Linked DNA regions of Sus scrofa. The protein of the gene in region 1 purifies or fractionates together with the protein of each later gene. This does not show direct contact. Links are inferred from orthologs where the notes say so. Each region holds a gene or a part of one and is shown on either strand. Other genes may lie near its edges. The genes, in order: VPS4A and ZFYVE19.

Evidence for each region.
Region 2: the proteins of VPS4A (region 1) and ZFYVE19 purify together in Homo sapiens (affinity purification with mass spectrometry; 3 studies listed by BioGRID and IntAct, counting the BioPlex papers as one, with this or other methods). This does not show direct contact. The link is inferred for Sus scrofa from reciprocal best matches to the Homo sapiens genes VPS4A and ZFYVE19.

The regions. Positions count from the first base shown.
Region 1 is NC_010448.4:17,662,922-17,666,732, forward strand, and holds part of VPS4A (vacuolar protein sorting-associated protein 4A), read right to left. Parts: intron 2,414-3,811; coding exon 2,302-2,413; coding exon of another isoform or gene 2,203-2,301; coding exon 2,055-2,202; intron 489-2,054; coding exon 427-488; intron 331-426; coding exon 211-330; intron 1-210. UniProt on the Homo sapiens protein: Involved in late steps of the endosomal multivesicular bodies (MVB) pathway. Recognizes membrane-associated ESCRT-III assemblies and catalyzes their disassembly, possibly in combination with membrane fission.
Region 2 is NC_010443.5:130,510,034-130,512,707, forward strand, and holds the end of ZFYVE19 (abscission/NoCut checkpoint regulator), read right to left. Parts: coding exon 2,503-2,674; intron 2,088-2,502; coding exon 2,008-2,087; intron 1,695-2,007; coding exon 1,596-1,694; intron 1,491-1,595; coding exon 1,363-1,490; intron 1,282-1,362; coding exon 1,203-1,281; 3' UTR 685-1,202; downstream 1-684. UniProt on the Homo sapiens protein: Key regulator of abscission step in cytokinesis: part of the cytokinesis checkpoint, a process required to delay abscission to prevent both premature resolution of intercellular chromosome bridges and accumulation of DNA damage.

The DNA.
Region 1 (3,811 bases):
TCAGTGGTAACAAACCACTAGTATCCATGAGGGCCCAGGTTTGATCCCTGGCCTCGCTCAGTGGGTTAAGGATCAGGCATTGCCGTGAGCTGTGGCACAGGCCAGCAGCTACAGCTCTGATTTGACCCCTAGCCTGGGAACTTCCATATGCCTCGGGTGGGGCCCTAAAAAATAAAAAAATAATAATAAAAAAAGTGGCTCAATGCTTACCTGTGAACAAATGTGGAAATTTAATTGGCAAGATGACAGCTTCTTTGAGGGCCTCTTTGGCGCCCTCCAGCCCGGCCACATCATTCCACCGAATGTTGGGCTTCTCCACCACGACGGCACCTGCAAGATGGAAACAGAGCCTTCACCTCAGAGCTCGACCCACCAGGGGTCCTCGCCACGTCCCCCTCCCCCTGCCACAGGCCTCAAGCCTCTTACCCATCAGCTGTTCTTGCAATTTCTTTTTCTCTGGATTATCCCCTTCGCTGTCACTATCACTGCTGGGAAAGGAGACAGAAGATGAGAGGCTGGAGCAAGAGGCAGCTGGCAAGGAGGCTCTCAGAGCAGAGTGAGGCCAGGCTCTGGCTGCCCGCACGGTGCTAAAGAGACACTTTCCCTGCTCAGCAGTGCTGAGAGCCACGCACAGGCACCTGGAGGATGCCAGGCCACGCATCACAGCACTCACTCTGGATTCTCCAGGAGGTGCTCTCATCACCTGCTTCACTTCCTCATGAAGGGAGTAAAATGAGAGGCCTTCTCCTCCCTAGAGGGCTGGTGAGGGCCCTGTGCTTTGGCTGGACTTCGAGAGCAGCAGGCAAGCACTTGGAGCTGTTATTGGCCTTTTGCAGGGATTCAAACCAGGACAGCAGTGGCTGTGCCTCCAGGCCAATCCCTATCCGACCCGAGCAACGTGCCTTCCTTAACTCCCCTGCCCGCCTGCAGAGGCCTGCCCCTGCCCTTCCCCACTGTGTCTCCCGCTCTGGGGAATCGAAACACAGGCATGTCCTCTCTACCCAGGTGCAGAGCCTCCCACCCCTGGGGAGAGAGCTGACACACCACCTTCTCTCTCCTTCTGCACCACCCTCCTGCTGGGCACCCTCCCCTGGACCCCAGAAGCCTTTGTGTTCAAACTACAGATGTGAGGTGACAGGCTGTGGAGGGAACACTGGCTTTGGAATTAGAAACAGAGCCTCAGGGGAGTTCCCATTGTGGCGCGGCGGATCCGACTAGGAACCACGAGGTTGTGGGTTCGATCCCCGGCTGTGATCCAGGGTTGCCGTGAGCTGTGGTGTAGGTGGCAGATGCGGCTCGGATCCCGAGTTGCTGTGGTTCTGGTGTAGGCCGGTGGGCTACAGCTCCGCTTCGACCCCTAGCCTGGGAACCTCCATATGCTGTGGGAGCGGCCCTAGAAATGGCAAAAAGACAAAAAAATAAATAAATAAATAAATAAATAAAGATACTTCCCAGGATGTTTTTAAAAAAAAAAAAAAAGGAAAAAAAGAAACAGAGCCCCAGGTGTGGGTCCAAACTCCGTCAAGTACTAGCTGTGTGCGACCTTGGCCATCCCTGAACCTTTCCGAGTCTGTTGCCCCATGTGTCAGATGAAGACGATAACTGCAATGACAGCAGTTGCTGCGCGCCAAGCTCTCTTCTCAGGGCTCTACCCACATCATCTCACTTGTTCCTTAGAGCAACACCAGGAGGGAAGTCTTATTACCTTCCTCCTCCTACAGATGAGGGTCATGGCACTTGTCCAAGGTCACATGGCTGGGAAGTGGTGGAGCCGGGTTAGACCCCGAGAGTCTGGCCGCAGAGTCCAAGGCTGGCTCCCCACCTTGCCCAGAGTGTTTCCACACAGATCCAATGAGAGAGTGTACACGGAGCAGCCTGGGAAGCGCTTGATGAAAGCAGCTACACGCATCATCATTATTATGAGAAGTCCCCCAAAGGAAGATGCTGCGGACGTCCACGACAGCATCGGTACCAAGATGATAGCTACACAGGAAAGAGACAGCTGCCCATCGGGGCTCTGGTCCCGACGGGGCCCTCCACTCCTCCGTACTCACCCCTTGCTCTCACTCTGATTCTCTTTGACTGGCTTCTTGCCATGCTTCTCTTTGTTTCGTAAATAATCCTTCAGCTTCTCTGCCCGGTCTAGGTACTGCATGCACTTGGCTCGAATGCTCTCCTTGGCCTTGTCGTTGTGTGCCTCATCTGCAAAAGGGGAACTAGGTAAGGGCCGGTGAGCCCCTGAGGGCCCGCCCTCCTCTTGCAGGGGCTCTGCAGCCAGGGAGGACCCCCCATGAGACTCACATTTGATAGCGTGTAAGAAATACTCCACGGCATGCTGGTAGAGCCGGAGCGCCTCCTCGTAATTCTTGGCTTTATCCTCTTCTGTGGCTTTTGTCACCAAATCAATGGCTTTCTGCAAAGGCAAAACATAGAAGCCAGTGCTTACCAAGAGATCCAGCAATTCCTTGGGTTCCAGAGAGCAGGAAAACACTGTAAGAGATACTGCCAGGGCTGCCTGGGGATTTGTCAGTCACAGACCATTATGTTGGCTACTTTTCCAACATCAACTAGAAAGGCCTTAAAAGGAACCTGTAAAAGAGAGCCATCCCTCTTCGCAATACGCTCATGTAGTGAAAACCAACCTCTCTCTCAGTCAAGTGGAAGCCTCGTCAAACATCTCAGATTTAAGGCTTGAAGGGAGAATTCACTTTCTATTTCATGGTTTCAGAGGAAAGAGAAATAGACCTGGACTGGGCCTGAAACACGGGAAACACCAGAACCAATTGACTGCCATGCTGTTCTATACGGAGGCTAGAAACCACCCCTGACCTCGAGGGCCAGAGAAGAGCCAGCAAGCCAGCCAGCAAAGTCCTTCTTCGGTCCAAGAGTTTTATGAGATGAACTTAAACGGATCTCTCCTTCTTGCCACTGGTCCAACTTGTTTCTCTAGGCTGAAAAGAGAAGACAGTTCCCTCAAGCTGATACTTAGAGAAGGGATGCTTGGACCCGTGGTTCAGTACACCGGTAGCTCCAGGAAGAAAAGTGCATGCTTACTCCAGAAGCATAAACGTGCGGCCACTGGAGGGGACCAGTCCTCTGGAACCTCCTAAGCACTCTGCATATCTCTGTGAACCTCATAAATCCTGTAGCCCTGTGCTCTGGACTGAACTTAAAGCAGGCTGGATCTTTCAGGCAGCTGCCCCACACCTACATAACCAGTTTTAGAAACCACGGCTTCACCAACCCGGGAAGCATGACCAGAATTATCCTCCTCAAGCTGATACAGCACTAGACACCAGGCAGGCAGATCCCCCGGTATCCACACAGTTCCGTCGGCAACGAACAATAAGCCTCCTGACCAGCTCTTGGCAGGACCCGGGCATTTATGGGCCTTTTCTCATCTGACAGTAGTAAGTCTCAGAAAGACACACGGAGCTCTACAGAACAAACAGCCTGGGGTAGGTCAGGCTAGCGTGATGTTAAATGAACTCGCCAGGTTGAACAGATGAGGAAAGGTGATAGGTAGCTACTCTATTCAGGCTTTAGCTCCACCCCAACGACCAACAGAGAATGGCTAAAAGGCCTGAACTTTCCCAGATGATCAGCTTAAGCACAAGCTTCACCTGAACACTCTCCTCCACGAGGCCCTTCAGACAGACATGAAAGCGATGCTCCCATGGCCAGAAGCCTCTGATCTCCAGAACACACCCTCCTGGTTCCCTTGGCTTTTCCACTCTACACGTTTTCCTGGGTGTGTCCTTTTGAAAGGGGGCTTCAGAACAATCCTCTAGGTATGCTCTGCCCCCCCACC
Region 2 (2,674 bases), on another chromosome or scaffold:
GTCATCAAAGCAGAGCTACAGCTGCTGGCCTACACCACAGCCATAGCAACGCCAGATCTGAGCCGAGTCTGCAACCTACACTATAGCTCACAGTAACAGTATGTCCTTAACCCACTGAGTGAGGCCAGGGATCCAACCCGCACCCTTGTAGACCTTAGTGGGGTTCATTACCACTAAGGGAACTCTCCTGAGGACTCTTTCTTGAGCCAGCTCCAAGCCAGAGGCAGCAAGAGAAAAAGCAGGGGTCGGGGGGGCTAAGCAGAGGGCCTGAGAATCATTGGTGGAAAAACACTCTGGGTTTGCATGGCCGGGAGGGTGGGACAGGACCCCTGGGAGGTGGTGTTCTTGGGAGTAAGGCAGGAGGCAGCGGATGCATCCACTGTTACTGCATGCAGTGTTGGAGTACTAGAGAAGCTGAGAAACCCAAGATGGTGGTGCCCCGGGGGCTAAGCTGGGCTGCCTCGAGCAGGATGCAGTTCAGTTCAATTGATGAATTTTGATGCCTACTGCCTGTGAGGCCACCAGGATGGGTGGGACTCTTCTTGCCTCAGGAAGCTTGCAGGATGGCTTAACCTTTTCCCTCACTTCACAGGACTGGACTTGTAGCCTACTATTCTTGCCATCTCTCCTCGGGCCCAGGCTCAGGGCCTGTATGGTTCAGTTCTACAGATAAAAGACACCGGGTCCAAGGAATCAACATACTTTATTAGATCCCCTAAGTGCCAGCAGAGAGCCCTGGGCCCTTGAGCAAGTTTTAGGGCTCCTCCTTAGATTCAGCTTGGTCTCCTCCCAGCATGCCTCTCACTCCCAGTCCAGATGTCAATGCGGGAAAGCTCCCAACTTCTTGCTTTCCTCTGGCTTCTCTAGTCACTGTTAAATGGAGAGTCCTTCCTCTTTCAAGGGACACAGAGGCTCAGGAAAGGACACATTCACAAGCAGTCTAGCTCTTTTTTTTTTTTTTTTTTTTTTTTTTTTGGCTGCATTCTTGGCATGCGGAAGTTCCAGGACCAGGGATCAAACCCACAGCACAGTAGTGACCCAAGCCACAGCAGTGAAAACACTGGATCCTTCACCTGCTGAGCCACCAGGGAACTCCCGGTAAGCAGTCTAGCCTGATGTGCTCTCCCATCAGATGCGCTGGTGGGTGCCCCGGCCTGTGTGACTGCCTGTAGGATGGCCTTCCCGGGAGGACCAGGGTTCCCTCAGTGCTCTCGCCCTTTGTGCAAGGGGTGGTAGGCAGATGTCTGGTGCTCTTTAAGTTCAAAAGCATCGTGGCCTTCCCTGTGGAGCAGAGATACAGGTCAGGGGTCAAAGGAGGCCTTGGAACATTCCTGGCCCCACAGGAATTCCACCTGTACCTACCGGAAGCAGCGAACACAATAGAGGTCTCCATCACAGCCAGCACAGCGCAGCGTGGCATCCTCATTACAGATACAGCACCAGGGGAGCTCCTCTTCCTCAGCCTCAGGCCTGGGGGCCATGGCCTGGGCCTTTGGGACCAGAGAGGAATGGAGGATGTAAGGTACCTGATGGGGTCCGGGGAGGGGAAGCTGTGATGGTGGCCTGGGGGGGTTTGTGTCTGGAGCTTTTCTCACCTTAGGCTCTACCCTGCTGGATTGGGCTTGGGGTTGGAGATTTGGCTCTGCAGGGATGTTAAAGCCACTTGCCTCATCCAGGGCAGCTTCTTCAGTGAGCTGTGGACAGAGTGAAGAGGTACAGCTCCCTGCTCAGGCATGCCCCCAACACCCAGTATTTTTGTGTTCTGTGGCTTAGCTCTCAGCCCACCTTCCTTCATCTGCTGCCTATGGCTGCTGACACTCCACCTCAAGGGGCTAGGGGGGGCGGGGCTGGGTCAGAGGGGCAGAGCAGTCCCAGCTAGAACAGGCACTGCAGAGTGACTGCCCATTGAACCCCAGAGAAGAGGCGGGGTGAATGGGGCCAGGTGGGTGCTGGAGCAGTGGGGCAGGAACAGGACGAGGGTGGTCAGGGGGATAAGGTGGGGCCAACCTGCCGCAGGACTCTCTGGATGGCTGTCTCCTCATCCTCTTCATCATCACTGTCCGGAAGGTGATAGTCCTGGAGGGTCACTTGAAGAGGGTGAGACGGGAGCAGGGGAGGAGGAATGAGGCTGAGAGCTCACCTGAGTGGCTGTGCTCCTGCCCCCAGTAATCTGGTTTCCAGTGGCATCTGTTCCAGAGCTGAGTAGCCTCTGCAGTCACTCTGGTCAGACCCTGTGCCACACTGCCAGGCTGGGGATCTGCACCTGAAGGGACCCAGGGTCCCCTGCCCCCTGATAGCTGCCACTTGTTCCTCATCCACTGCATCGCCTCAGCACCTTCTTCATGGCTCTGGACAAAGCTCGACAGACTCCTGAGCACAGGGCCCCCCAGCCCCTGACCCAGTCTGGCAGGGAGTACAGCAGCCACTGGGCAGAGCTTGGCCTGGGGGTGGGAGTTGAGGGCCTGCCCACTGGACAAGAGTGAGCCACTCCCCAGCCTCTACCTTTATCTGGGTCCTCTCCTCGAAGCACAGCCAGGCGCTTGGCAAGGGCCAAGATCCGCTCCTGCCTTGTGTTCTCCTCCCGAAGTTCGACTGCTGCCTCAGCCAGAAGCCTGCTCTTCTCCTCCTCCAGGGACCCGGTGGCTTGCCCCTCAGAACTGGCACTCTGGGCCCT